Struthio camelus: one gene and its partner. The protein of the gene in region 2 interacts with the protein of the main gene of each other region in a pairwise test. Links are inferred from orthologs where the notes say so. Each region holds a gene or a part of one and is shown on either strand. Other genes may lie near its edges.

The links. The genes of interacting proteins can lie anywhere in the genome.
Region 1: the proteins of NDRG4 (region 2) and MAL2 interact in binary tests that used the Homo sapiens proteins (3 or more experiments, as listed by UniProt). The two-hybrid records come from large-scale screens. The link is inferred for Struthio camelus from reciprocal best matches to the Homo sapiens genes NDRG4 and MAL2.

What each region holds. Positions count from the first base shown.
Region 1 is NC_090943.1:158,385,041-158,392,705, reverse strand, and holds the start of MAL2 (protein MAL2), read right to left. Parts: upstream 3,280-7,665; 5' UTR 3,142-3,279; coding exon 3,007-3,141; intron 890-3,006; coding exon 719-889; intron 1-718. UniProt on the Homo sapiens protein: Member of the machinery of polarized transport. Required for the indirect transcytotic route at the step of the egress of the transcytosing cargo from perinuclear endosomes in order for it to travel to the apical surface via a raft-dependent pathway.
Region 2 is NC_090951.1:30,455,335-30,462,573, reverse strand, and holds the start of NDRG4 (protein NDRG4), read right to left. Parts: upstream 3,217-7,239; 5' UTR 3,151-3,216; coding exon 3,114-3,150; intron 1-3,113. UniProt on the Homo sapiens protein: Contributes to the maintenance of intracerebral BDNF levels within the normal range, which is necessary for the preservation of spatial learning and the resistance to neuronal cell death caused by ischemic stress.

The DNA.
Region 1 (7,665 bases), on a different chromosome or scaffold from region 2:
AGCAGAGCATAGCAAGATCTGTAGTTTCCCCAGGCTTCCTCTAAGAAAGAGGAATTTAAATCTCCTAAAAAGATATTAAGCTATACTATACTGCAGGTCAGGCTGTCTTTGACTATCTAAAGTCTAACAGCTGTGCATCAGTGCTGTACTACCTAAGGAATTAACCCAAAAGACAGCTACAGGCTTTCATAGGAACACAGGACTGGAAGAGGCTTCCTGGGTCCTTGAGACTTGTACTCTCTCAGATAATCAGATAATACAATGTGTTGACAAATCTATCACTTCATCTACAATATTAGATGGAGCTTTCTACTTCCCATTATTCACGGGGTGTTACCGTGACTCCTCTAATAGTTAGAAAATATTTTATTGTTTCCAGTCTGCAATTATTTCTGGCCAATTTAAACCAACTTGTTGCCATGCCTTGTTAAACTAGTCCTCTCCCTGCTGCTCACGCCTTCTATGTGTTTATAGAGGACAAGCTTACACATTCATTCAAGTTCAAAAGTCAGGCTCTTTCAGTTTCCATAATAAAACAAGTTTTACATTTCCCCATCATCCCTGTTGCTCTACTCCGTCTTCTTCCAGTTTGAATTCCTCTGCTTTGAGCAATTTTGTTAAAACAGTACGTTTTAAGTAGTACGACTTAGGATAAGTACTTCTCATTAAGTGATCTCCAGTTTATAAAGGCAACAGAATCCTTAAAACAAAATCTTACTGTCTGGTTCCAGTTGATGGCAATCCTATTTGCGTAACTGAAGAGGAACACACAGAGGAACACAATGGACAGGAACCACGCGGTCACTGCTACAAACATCACCCATCCCTGCAGCAGTGGCAGTGGAACTTGAGTGGCAGCTACCAAAATCCAGACTATTGTTCCAAACAGCTGCAAGGAAAGCAATACAGGTGACGAGCTTAGAGATAAATTTTATTTGGTCCTTTCCGTCTAAGAACTTAGCCCTTAATATCACACATCAACAAGTCCTTAGGTTACTTTGAGGAACCCAGAGAAAACACTTCAAAAGTACTTGAGGAGTCTAAGTACCATCCTCAGAAGTGATAGGCACTAAGTGGAAGTTAAGATGAAGCTCCACTAAATTCTTAAAAGCTCTTAAAGCAGCCTTGAAAATGGGATTTACAAACTCCGGTTACTCATGCGCTGCTGCTGAAAATTTTACCCTTAGTCTCAATTTGAAGGGAATACAAGAAATGTGAAAACACTGTTGACACACACACACCACAACATATGTAGTATTGATCTATACTATCAATATATATTCTAAAATCAGTGCAACAAGGATGCACATGAGATTTGGATTCAATCTTACGATGTTTAGTTTTGCTAGTCCTAATCAAATGAGATACAGAAAAGAAACTAAATTGCATCTTATTTTTCAATGCATTTGTAATAAACCGCTGAAAGAGAACAGATCAAGTAATAAAGTGAAATGGAAGACCAGAATACAGAATAAAGCAAGTTGTGCATTATGTGGTAATAACTAGAAAAGTACACAGCTTTTTAGAGTTATTGTAACTAGGAGAAGAATTCAGCCCCACAAATTTTGTTTGTAATATATTGATCTCAGTGAATATGTAGTAGGGAGGCTGCACTATGATGGGCTGAAGGAGGATTTACATATTCTAAAGCCTGTCTGTTTAAATCAGTTGTTGGTCTAACAAAGGATATTATCTCTCCCTGCAAATCCTGCCTCTTTATAAAAAAATTATGCCTGAAAAAAATCGTAATTGCCATCTGAAATATGTTCATTTATTATAGAAAAGTTTAACTTCATAATCCAAGTTGCTGTGATATGATAGCTACAATTAATTTCAAAGTAAATTACTACTTTCCAGTTTAAATCCTCTAGATCTACAATTACAGAGTCAGAAGCTATATTTTCAGATTCAAAGAACTTTCTTTGGGATCACGGTTGGAAAAGAGGTATCTTTCAGAAGGCGCCTGCTATAAGACGAACCGGGTCCTCTCTAGCGTTACGTGGCAGCAGTGTATATGTAAAGACACGCTGCTAGTCTTAGTTCAAAATTCCCACGGGGTTAACGTATTAGCCTTCAGCTTATTCTCCAGGGTTGCTTTTTTAGCTGTTACGAAGAGCCAAAGTTTCTCTACTTTCACAGGCCTGCAGGTGCAGGTCTGCTACTCAGAGACCAGACAGCGACGGGCAGCGAGGAAGCAGTGGGCACCGCAGAAAGCATCTGTGCATCCCACTACAGACACTGACTAATTTCAGCACCTGCTGCAGCGCTATTTCCCCTAACATCGCACCCGTCTGCCACAGCTTGGCTGTCAGATGTACGGCAGATTTGCCAACCTAATTAACCTTTTGTCCCTACTGACTTGGGGCCTCGTTTAGCGCCTGGACATGCACGCTGAGCTCTTTGCTCCAGTGAGGCCTGTTGCTGCTTGCATGGTGGGATCTGTCCCACAGGCCGGGACCCACGTCAGTAGGCAGCTCTGACTCCAAGGAAGAAACAAAACAACAAAATCAAAAAAAAAAACCCCGATGAGTTCTGCCAAGGTTTTTCCCCCCTGCTAATTAGGGCTACATTTCCGCCTGGGCTCATCATACTCAGCCCCAGCTCAGGGGACCTCGGTCCCGTTGAAACGAGCAGGGTCTTACACGCGGAGTTAAAGCCACCCGCAGGAGTTTCCACAGGACGCAGGCGAAAACCAGCCCAGCTTTTTCACTGAGGATTTTTGGCTCGGGCGTTTCAGGGCTTCTTAGGGGATCAAAGTCCTCACCAGCTTCAACTACCCATATAAACTCTTATTTCAGACGGTCTCCCGGGCCGGGCCGCCGCCGGCCCCCCCACCCCCGCTCGCAGCCACCTGCGGCCGGGCCCGAGGCGAGCAAAGAGGCGGCGGCAGGACGGAGAGACGCGGGCCCGGCTCCAGCCGCCGCCCGCCGCGCCTCTCCCCTCCCGCTCACAAAATGGCAGGTGAGGCCGCGGGGGAGGGGGGGAGCGCGGCAGCCGCTCACTCACGATCTCCAGGAAGATGAAGGCCCCCGAGTAGGTGCGCAGGATGTCCAGGCCGGAGGGCAGCGTGACCCGGGGCGGCGGGAAGTAGGCAACGGGGTTGGGGGGCGGCGGCATGGACGAGCCCGCTCTCGGCAACATGTTGCTGTTGCCGCCGCCGCTGCTGCCGCCGCTGCCGCGCGCGGCCAGGTGGACGCGGAGGAGGCGGAGGAGGGAGCAGGTGCGGGGGAGCGGGCGGGAGCGAGCGCACCGCCCCGGCCACCTCCCCCCGGCCCGCCCCGCGCCGCCGCGCCCTGCCGAGGTGCCGGGGCAGGGCCGCCGCCGCCGCCGCCGCCGGCCCTGCGCGGGGGGCGAGTGCGGGGCGGGGCGGCCGTGCGGGGCAGGGCGCGCGAGGGCGAGGCGCTGCGCCCCGGCTCGCCTGCGGGCGGCCTGGGGGGCTCGCTGGCGGGCGGGCGGGCTGGCGGGCGGGCTGGAGGGGCTTCGCTGGCGGACCGACGGGCTGACGGGCGGATGGGCTGGCTGACTTCAAGGGCTCCCTGACAGAGTGACTGGGGGGTTCCCTGGAGGGCTGACGGACTGGCTGACGGGCGGGGGGTTCAGTGGCTGGTGGTGACACTGACGAACTGGGGATTTGGTGACTGGGGGTGTCGCTGACTGCCTGGCTGGCGGGCTGGGGGTTTGGTGACTGGGGGTGTCGCTGACTGCCTGGCTGGCGGGCTGGGGTTTGGTGACTGGGGGTGTCGCTGACTGCCTGGCTGGCGGGCTGGGGGTTTGGTGACTGGGGGTGTCGCTGACTGCCTGGCTGGCGGGCTGGTGTTTGGTGACTGGGGGTGTCGCTGACTGCCTGGCTGGCGGGCTGGGGGTTTGGTGACTGGGGGTGTCGCTGACAGACTGGCTGGCGGGCCGGGGGTTTGGTGGCTGGCGGCGTCACTGAAGAACTGGGGGTGTCGCTGACTGGGGGTGTCGCTGACAGACTGGCTGGCGGGCCGGGGGTTTGGTGACTGGGGGTGTCGCTGACGGACTGGCTGACGGGCTGGGGGTTCGGTGACTGGGGGTGTCGCTGACGAACTGGGGGTTCGCTGACTGGGGGTGTCGCTGACAGACTGGCTGGCGGGCCGGGGGTTTGGTGACTGGGGGTGTCGCTGACGGACTGGCTGACGGGCTGGGGGTTCGGTGACTGGGGGTGTCGCTGACGAACTGGGGGTTCGCTGACTGGGGGTGTCGCTGACAGACTGGCTGGCGGGCCGGGGGTTTGGTGACTGGGGGTGTCGCTGACTGCCTGGCTGGCGGGCTGGGGTTTGGTGACTGGGGGTGTCGCTGACTGCCTGGCTGGCGGGCCGGGGGTTTGGTGGCTGGCGGCGTCACTGAAGAACTGGGGGTGTCGCTGACTGGGGGTGTCGCTGACAGACTGGCGGGCCGGGGGTTTGGTGACTGGGGGTGTCGCTGACGAACTGGGGGTTCGCTGACTGGGGGTGTCGCTGACAGACTGGCTGGCGGGCCGGGGGTTTGGTGACTGGGGGTGTCGCTGACAGACTGGCTGACGGACTGGGGATTCGGTGACTGGCGGCGTCACTGACGAACTGGGGGTTCGCTGACTGGGGGTGTCGCTGACAGACTGGCTGGCGGGCTGGGGGTTTGGTGACTGGGGGTGTCGCTGACGGACTGGCTGACGGGCTGGGGGTTCGGTGGCTGGGGGTGTCGCTGATGGACTGGCTGACGGGTTCGGTGGCTGAGGGTGTCGCTGACAGACTGGCTGACGGGCTGGGGGTTCGGTGACTGGGGGTGTCACTGACGGACTGGCTGACGGGTTCGGTGGCTGAGGGTGTCGCTGACGGACTGACTGACAGGATGGGGGGGGTCTCACTGATTGACGGACTACCTGACAGACCTGACAGACTGCCTGACAGACCGCGTGCTGCTGTAGGTTTGCCCCCAGCGAGGTTGTTGCCTCGCGTGCCTTAGGACAGGGTGCAGCGACCTGCTGTACGCGCGTGTACCTACGTCCAGGGCGCGCACGGAGAGCTGTGGTGGACCGCTGCAACGCCGCCAGCGTTCGGGGTGTTGCGGGGCCGGCGCAGGGGCTGTCACCCGGCGCCGCGGCGCCCGGCGGTGTGTGGCGTCGGGCCTGCCCCGCTCCCCTTGGAAGGGGGTGTGTTACCAGCCGGTGGGTTTCGGTTTTGGTGGGGGGGTGGTCTCGTGGTGGAACTGGGTCGCGAAACTGCTCATTCGGAAGTCCGGAGTCGGATCCAGCCAGTTTGACGGAGTTATTTCCTAACGTCACTTTGCAAAGGGTTGTTGTTTACCTTCTGGTAAAAGATATTTGAGGCCTGAGAGTTAGGAGCGTTGTTTTTAGTTTTTTGGTTTTAGAAGCCTACTTCTAACAAACAAAACTGTGTCTTTCACGCTTACCGGGGGAGGAGTTGAGGTTTTCAGGAAAAAAAATAAAAAAAAAAAAATAGAATACCATAAACCGGTGGAAGTTGCCAAGACAGTGTAATTTTGGAAAAAGATAGCAATTTCCTTTGATTTCTTTATGCCCTACAGTAGGTTCCACGTTCAAAATACTGAACACGTTTCATGTGTATCCACTTTTTTTAATCAGCATTGAACAGTGCATAGCTACATAAATTTCAGTAGTGGAAAATGTTTATTTGAGGTAAACATTTTGGATACCTAGGGGTAAAGAAAGGTGTGTGTTCGTCAGACCACTTACAATGTATTCTGTCATCTTTCTTGGTATAAGTAACTTGCAGAGGAAAGATATAGCCATCATCAAGCGTTTTTGTTATTCCTCTCTGGTGGGTTAGGAGAGGTGCTTTGGGGACTGCAGGGAGTTGTCTCACTGGGATGCCCAAGTACTACTTCATCCAGTACTATCCCATATAATGTTTTGTAAAAGGGACTAAAATTCCTTCCAGGTGTTTCTCCTCGACATATTCAGCTGTGATTTTTAAGATCAGGTTTCTAAGAGGGTTTCATGCAACTGTAGTTACTCTGGAGGCTGAACCAGCTAGGCCGCTAACATTGTATTCTTTTATTTTTAGATACATGGCACAGTTTTGCTTCTGAGATGACTAGAAACACCTTGGTCTGAGATGCCTGTCTTCCCCGCCCCAGTTCAAAATCTAGTTGAAGCAGTCAGCTCCTCTCAGCTATGCTCAGAGCACACCTAGTACTGCAGTGGGATCGGGATACTTCTAAAATGCGGTAATAGCAACACAGTTTTTAAATCGTGACTGCCAGAAGAGGAAGAAGCAACAAGTCCTACTCATTCTTATGCCTTCTCTAGGCCCATTCCTTTTTTCATGTTGCACAACTTCAGGAATGGGAGAAGGGAATACCTTTCCTCTCCTCACCCCCATGCCCTTTGCAGCTGGATGCCTCCTGCACCCCTAAGAAGTGGGAGATGTGAGACTGAATCCATGAGGCTAAGGAAGACACTTGAGCCTAGCCTCTTCGCTTTTCTGAGTGCTTTAACCGGTTGGTTATCAGATAAGAAACGGATGCCTCTTATTCCTCCTCTAGACACATTTTAGGAGTGAGCACTGAGTTCCCGTCATTTATCTTCAGGGGAGGATTCCAGGCTCTGGAGGCACCTACAGCTCCTGACTGAGGTGTGTTTTGGAGGGGAATGAGATTCAGACTTGTGTCCAGTTGGTTAGCTGTAGGTTCTTGGGACTGCGTTCTAGAGGGCCTGATGTCCAATGAACTTTATGATCTGGCCCTGAATCTGTTGTGAATGCCCTGCACTGGGAGAAATCTGAGTGGGTGGAAAACTGGGTGGATCAGTTTATGGTTTGGAACGCAGAGCGTGATTATCCTTATCTTATTCGAGGGAAGTTCAAATAGCACTTGGTCATAAACATTTCCAGTTTTATTATCCAGCTACATAACTAATCTGCATGAACTCCATCAGCAGTGGATTTTCCTGGTGATTGCAGACCATGTGCAGTTTTTTTTCTTTTTGCTTGTAACTGCCATTCATTTTAACCTGCACAATCCTTTAACACTGATTTTTCTGGAATTTGAGTAGGTTTTCATAGCAAAGTCTAGATTTTACTGTTCAGGTGTATTTCTACACAAATGGCCCTAAAGCAGATTTATGGCAATACTGTTTCCTAAATCCTAGCCATTTCAATTAAAGTAGCTAAGTTATTTTTACTAGGTCTGGGCAGGAAGTGTTACAATACCATATGTGATTGTTTATCTACAGATTCTGATACAGTTTCAATCTTTAAAAACCTGAATTCTTTAAGAGGTTAGAATCAGGACTGCGTTTTTAAGTTGCCATGGCATGAGTGCGTGTTTGTGTTGGATAGCTTGGTTAATAGCATTTTTATGTAAATAATTGCGTCTTGGCATCTCACAGAATAAAATAATGATGCTGCTTCAGGTCTGCCTGCCTGTAGAGTCAAAAAGTAGACAGAAGTATATTTATTCATAGTACATAAGAAGGTCTATCTACACAACCAAAGGGCTAAAAACTTCTTTTAATTAAAATATTTTATAAATAAATTCTAAACTCTTCCCCTTGGTTTTCTTCAAGTGCATATTAAAGCCTAAACTAAAGTTGGGATTGTCACAGAACTGCAAAATCAGTTGCTGTCATTTTTAGATGATAAGAAGTGTCCGCAAGAAGAGGAGATACAAGTGGAATAAATTAAA
Region 2 (7,239 bases):
CTACAGCTGCAAGAGCCAGGCATTGCCAGTCTGAAACATCATGGCTCCATCTAAAGGAGTAGCTGTCAGCACCCAGCATGGGCACTGCATCTCCCTGCCCCGCGGGGTGGCAGGGACCTCAGGCTACGGTTGCTGGCACTCCTTGGGGCCGCCTGTGCCATCTCCAGCAGCCTTGCCAGCCAGCCACGCTGCAGTGCTGTGTTTCCCAGCCAAAAAGACTTAAAATGGAGACTGGGGGAGAAGTAAATAGCACTGGGCCCTCCCATCGGCCCCCAATGCAAAAGATAGGGTCTGTGGCTAAGGTGGCAGCTGCTGCCACCCCATTAGTGGCCCTGGGCAATGCTGGTGGGTTCAGAGAGCTTGTAACGGAGCCTGGAGAGGAAAGGGCAACCCAGACACACTGCGAGTGGGAGGGAGGCAGTGAGATCCCGCAGACAGGGCACAGCCAGCCTGGGTGCTGGTTGGGGACCCCTCTCTTGGGTGCCTGGAGCGGGTGGTGGGTGCCCTGGCAGGCCTGAGCCCACTTCTCGAAATGCAGCAGGGGGAGCATGGAAGCACTCCGAAGGGGGAGCCTCATGCACGCGTAGCACTGTGAGATGCAGCATCTGCCACCAAGAGGTTTGGGACATTGAGAGGTCCTGGCTGTGTGGCTTGGGCATCTCTGCAGCCTGGCACCGTGACACACCAGGTGCACCCTAATGCAACCATGGGGCACGAGCGATCCTGTCCCATGCCGAGGCAACATAGCTGGGAAAGCATCCTTTCCCCCCACAGCTTGACCTCTGAGAGCAGGCAGCACCCACTGTCTGGGTATGCTCTCACCCCCCACAGACTCGCATCTGCCCCTGCTCTGCCTTCCCAACGCTGTGCCACCATTTCCTGGGCAGAGTAGGAACCACCTCCTCCAAAATCCCAAATCAATCCCAAATAGAGCACGGCACCAGCCACCTTCCATGCTAAGAGGACGTCAAAGCAAGAAACTCTCTGCACCCTCGTAGGCCATTGCAAGCAACAATTTAAGCCTGCAGCTGCATCCCAGGCTCTCACAGTATGTTAGCTTGAGCCCTTGCAAACATCCAGCCCTGTGCCTGCATCCTGCAAGGATAGGCTCTAACTGGGTGCCAGAAAAGGAAGAAAAACTTCCTTCCAAAGGGGAAAGGAAACGGCTCCCAGCGGGAGGGGGAGAAGGGCCGAGCAGAGACATAGGAGCTGCACGCAGGACCCCACTGTGCCCAGCGACACACAGACCCCCAGACAGGGCCACTGCAGCTGTCCCTGCGGGCTGTGCTGTGGCATCAGCCCACCGGTGCTCTGCCCTGACATGGTCCTGGCATCGCACACGCAGATGTGAGTGGAAATGGCCACGCTGGCTCCCCCTCCCCAGGGAGCTGCAGCCGAGCGGTGCCTACTGGAGTAGAAGCGGCTTACGGCAGGGAAATGCATTACTGTTATTAACATTATTATTAATAACAGCACACACAGCCAGCTGCGAAAGCACGTGTGGGGAAGTCAGCTGTGGCACTTCAGGGCGCCCAGCTCTGCTGGCCTCAACTCCCACGGCTGCCTCTCACTTACCAGGGCTGCGACTATCAGCAACAGCCCCGTGCAAGCGGCACAGGGAGGAAAGGACCTCGGCGAGCATCGGTGAGAGCTCAGGGCATTTTACAACTGCGATGAGATGCCAGGGAGCCCAAGGGTTGCGCTGGCAGAGACGTGAGACCCCACTAGGCTGGGAGATGAGGCCATGTCGATGCAGGGGGGGAAGCCAAAGGCGATGCTGGGCCTGGCGCTTTCGGGGCTCTGTGTGAAGATGCCGGCTGTCTCGGCAGTGGCTGTTGCTACGAGCAACCTCCTCCCCAGCCCTGCTCCTCAGGGCACCAGGAAGGAAACAACACAGCAGCTAGACACCCCAGGGAGGCTCGCGAACAGCAGCAGATGCTGCCTGGCCCCACGCGGGCCGGAGGCTGCACCGAAGGGATGCTCAGCGGCCCCATGCACACCCAGCACCCTCCCCCAACATGCCATGCTGGCTGCCCAGCAGAAAGACCCCAGCCCGCGGGACCCCCGGCACCAGGAGGCTGGTGACACAGTCCCAGCCTGGTCCCTGCCATTGGCAGCCACCAAGCCGGGCTTCCCCAGCTGCAGCCCTCCTCCTCGCCAGCCTTCCCCCAAAACATCCTCCCTCCAAACAGCCTTCTCATGGTGGGGAGAGGCAGGTGGGGGTCCCTGCAGTCCCAGCTCGCTGGCAGGGATCAAAGGACTCTTTGCACCCCGGGCATCGCGACCCCCCCCATCTTGCTTACGCCAGAGTTAATCTCTCCCCAGCCCACGAGGCTCCTCCTCAGCTTGGGGGCAAAGCCCAGCACCCCGCAGCCCTGGGCACCCAGCTCCTGGAGCACCTGACCACCGTGTCGTGCCGTCCGCCGGAGCAGGCCACTGCATGTCCATCTGGCACAGCGGGTGCGCACGGCCCCCGAGACAGCGCTCCAGAGCCCCCCAGGACAGCGAGGGGGAGGAGGAGACGGTGTAAGTTACCTGCGTCACTCAGGGCACATCTGCGGCCTCCCGGAGGGACGGCCGCTGGCCCCCGTGACCCCCGTGGCCCCCGACATCATGCAGGCCCCCGAGGCGAGCGGCGGCAGGGGGACCCGCTCACAGCAGGTGCTGTTCAGGGATGGAAAAGCTGCCAGCCGTGATTCAGGGAGGGGACCGCAGCAGACACCCCATGCACGGCCCAGCTCTGGAGGGGAGGAGAGAGGGGAAAAGTGGCGGCAGCAAAGCGGAGCCACAGGGCTACCCCAAGAACGGCACGAACCGAAGCAAGAGCGTGACCCCCAACACAGCTCAAAGTGAAGCCATAGCACAGCCCCAAAGCCTGCAAAGTCCAGCAAGAGCTCAGCCCCCCCAAACTGCAAAGTGAAGCAATAGCGTGACACCCCCCCCCCCCCCCCCCCATAGCACAGAGCGAAGCAGCCGCTCACCCCCGAGCCTGCGGAGCCGCAGCGGAGCCGCGGCCGCGCCCCGAGGTCCTGCCGGGCTTAAACCCCCGCTGCGGCCGAGCGGCAGGTGGAAGCGGGGCGCAACGCCCGGGCCAAACCGGGGCCGCGCCGTACCTGTCAGCAGCTCTATCTTGTGCCGCAGCACCTTCATGCCGGGGCGGCGGGTCCCGAGGCCGCCGGCGGGCGGGGGGGCGCGGCGGGCCCCGGCGCGGGAGAGCGAGCGGAGCCGGAGCCGGAGCCGGAGCCGGAGCCGGAGCGAGGCGCGCGGGGCGGCGCAGGGGCGAGGCTGGGCACGGTCCCCGCGCCGGGCCGGTTCCTCCCCTCACCGGGCCCGGAGGGAGGGGACGGCGCCGGGAACGGGGCCGGGCCGGGGGGCTCCGGGGGGACAACGGTCCGCGCCGCGCCACGCCCGCCTGGGCCGGGGGGAGCGATTTACCGGAGGATGCCGTGCTGCCGGGGGGAGCACATCGCCCCGCGAGGCACCGGGGGGCTGTGCAACCGGCGGCCCCAGGAGCAAGGGGTCTGGGGCCCCTGAGAGCAAGGATAGCGATGGCCAAGGTGCCTGGAGGTCCCTGGGAGCATAGGACAGTGTTGGTCAATGCACCTGGGGGGGGAGGGGACAAGGGGAACTTGTGCAGCTGGCGCCCCTGGAGCAGGGCCCTGATGCCCAAGGGGCCGAGGGGGGGTCTCATGGAGGGGGACAGTGATGCCTGAGAGGTCTAGGGGGAGACAGGAGTGGAATCTGTGGCTGGGACAGCAGTGGCCCCATACACATGGATGCTGGAAGTCAAGGCGGTGGCAGCTCTTTGGGGTGGAGCAAGAGGTTGCGAGGTAGCTATTTGGGTCAGGCAAAGCCAGGGGCTTGGAACAGTGCCGTGGGCCTGGAGAGCATTGGAAAGGGCCCACAGTGGCAAAGATGCAGGACTCCCTCCTTCTGCACAGGGCACGAAGGCCGTTGCTGCTCCACTCTGCTTGTGCTGGCTGGGCTGTGATCCTGCCCCATTGGGGCCACAAGCTCTGTGGGGCAGCTGGTACATGGAGGTTCACCCACCACCCTTTCCAAGGTGCTCAGCTTTCTAGAAGAGCCAGGGGCTCCCACAATGGCAGGGTATAAAGCAGAGCTGTGTCCTGAATCAGGAGAGCGGGTCCAGCAAAGATGGATGCCCCAACCTGCCCAGAGTGCTCATCCCTGTCATCCTCAGCCGTGAGGAATTGAGCTGGACCAAGCCAGCCAAGCCAAACCTGCCTATTTTCCCTCCTATGTAGCTATTTGGTGAGATTTTAATGTGCTTTTCCACAATTAAGAACATAAGAGCCCCAGGTTACTTGAGCTAACTGTACAGGACATCTCATTCAAAACCCCAAATTGGCCCTCTCTAAAACACTCCCCCCCCCGCAATCACTGAGGATCCTTAAACCTCCCCTCAGTGGTCTCAGTTCCCTATCAAACCCAGCCCCACGCTGGGCTCACATGGGAGGACTCAGGGGTCCTGCTGCAGATTGTTCCATGGGCTTCGGACCATGGACTGACCTGGTGTCCAGGGTAGCACTCGCTCCTATCCCCTATTATACATTTTCCCCAGGAATTTCCAGGTAAAACATTTCATGTCTCCATTACAAATAAGGTGTGCATGAGCCAGGGAATGACCTTGATTTATCCTGGATTTGAGTGCTATTTACTTGTCAGCACAGGAAAGTCAAAGTTTCCTGTAGGATGAGTGAGGTTCAGGTTCTCGTGCACCAGAAGAGGTCCATGTGAGATGTTGCAGGAGGATCATGATTTTGGTGCTGGGACCTTGGAGAGAACCTCTGCCCCAGAGGTCCTGGGGGACTGGCAGGCAGCAGGACCAGGCTGATGCTGGAGAGGGATTTCTTGGTGGTCCCTGTTACTATCAACTAAGGGCCTCTGGAGCAGTGCTAGCATCTTCAGAGGGTCAATGCAGGGGATCATTTCTAGCTTTGTTAGCACCACCTTCAATTGGAGATCTCAGTTTGCCCTCAACCCTAAAGTCCCAGGATGCGGCAGATGCCCAAGGACTGCTTTGGCAACTATATCAAGTCCGGTGTCCTAGACATCAGCCTCATCTCCTCATGGCTGGCCACAGCAGCCAGTGCATCTATTTACTTCATGACACCTTTCAGTTATAGGCATGTCTCCTGGCTGCAGGCAGTGAACAGCTCATCCCACAAGCTCCTGCTAAGGGGCTGGGAAGATACACGCTGCTGATACGGGCACTAATTTCCATTCCTGGTACATCTGTTTTAACAGCTTGTCCTTGGCTTTTTGGACGGCAATCAGTTTTGAGCTGATTTCAGCCTCTCCCATTGAGTCACCCATAGCTCAGCATCCCGGGCTGCATTCACCTTCTCACCTATGAGGCAGAAAAAAACTGGGAGGGAACACAAGGACCATTTAACCCCTCAGCTAGGAGCCAGCCAAGTGCATTGCTCTTGTGGAGGTCAGATCTTCCCTACCTTCAGAGCTGTGTTTCACCCCGTCTCCAAGTCCAACAGCCAAGGGGTTCCTCTGAACCAGTCAGGGTCAGCTTTGGCTTGTCCTCACCCAGTGCAAATCTAAACGTACTCCTCCGATTGCCATGGCTTTGTACCAGAATAGATGGTTTTCATACTGAGGATTTATCCTGTCTGCATCAAGTCCAACATTATCCAATAACAGCTTTTAGATGGCTACCTTGTCAAAGGAGCCAACCATGTGGCCGAAATAATTGCACAATTAATTAGGCCTGGGAAGAGCACAAGCTCTCCACGCATTAAGCTGGAGACAGTGGAGCATAAACCCATGTGAGAGTTCAGAAACCACCTGCTGATGCAGAGCAGCTTGCACCCTGAACTGTGTGTTTAAAGGGAAGCGAGTTTTACAGCATGGATTTTTCCACATTGTTTCGCATTGTGCTTTTAATACAGGTCAACGTGGCATTTTCTACATGCATGGCTTTGCACTGTGCTTTTAGCTCAGCCATGCGACACTAAACTAATTGGACAAAGGTCTCGCTCCAGAGACAGCCTAAGGGAGGTCACAGTCCTGAATGAGGGCTCCCCAGACCTGGCAGGGGGTTAGAAGATGCCACTTGTAGACCTGTGACACTCGCCAACATTCACACCCTCATTGCCAGACACTGCCTTGGCACCCACGCTTCCCAGGGTGTTGGTGGTCTGGCAGGGCCCCAAGGAGCCCTTTGCCTGGAGCTGTTGCTGCCAGCCCAAATGCTGAAGTTGGGCTGCAGCTGTTTGAGCAGTATCCTGCAAGCTCCCTGCAGAGTCCAAGCAGCCCAGGGACACCTTGGACTTGCAGCAAGTGGGCTGCAGCGTGCCGGGCATCTGCCTTGGCCGCAGCGGGATGGGAAGCAGGGAGGTGGGAGAAGGTGCCAGATGCTACGAGGTGAGTCAAGCCTCAGTCATAAGACCGACCACGCTCCTTCTACTCATCAGCGTAGGAAAGGTGGCAAGAAACACGGTGTCACTTGCTAGATCCGAGCCTCTGCCCTGCCTCTCCAGGCTGGCAGGTTAGAGCGGAGGGTGCAGCCAGCAGGCAAAGGCAGGGCCATTAACTCTCTCATGCCTGGGTGAGCCTCCATCCTCCTCCCACAGTGAGCAGAGGGGGCCGAGCCAGATGGCATGCAGCAGGAGATGCTATTTTAAGCCCCCCAGTTGTGATCTGGACCCCTCTGCCCTGGCTGCCTGGTGTCTTTTCCAAGGACACACCCTGGCCGACATCATTTCGCAGCCCCCTCCTTCCCCAATGCATCGGTTTACTACACCACAGACAGAGCAGAGTAATTTTCCATGGCCCCGCCAATGCCAGCGAAGGCGCAGGGAGCATGGAAAGGGCTCTCTTCATTGCAAAAGCAGCAGCTCCCGTCTGTCCCATGGCCTGAGTGGCTCTGAGTCATGGCTCTGTAGCAGGCACTTGCTGCCGTGTCCAGAATGGTGCAGACAGCGCTGATCCGAGTGCACGGGCCTGGGTCAGACTTGGAGTGAGCTGCTCTGACCCTGATGTGGGGCTGACAGGGGCTACAGTTTTCCCCTGAAGCCCAGGGGTTTAGTGCAGGAGTGGGGGTGGGGGTTTGTACCATCTACCTGTATCCTTAGACTGCATATTACTGCAAGCCAAAAACATCCACGGGGCTGCCTAAGGATTTCACCGCACTCAGCACAGCCCGGGCTCTTGCAGGATTTGTCAGTAGGGAAACTGAGGCATGGAGCGCCTGGGCCCAGGAAC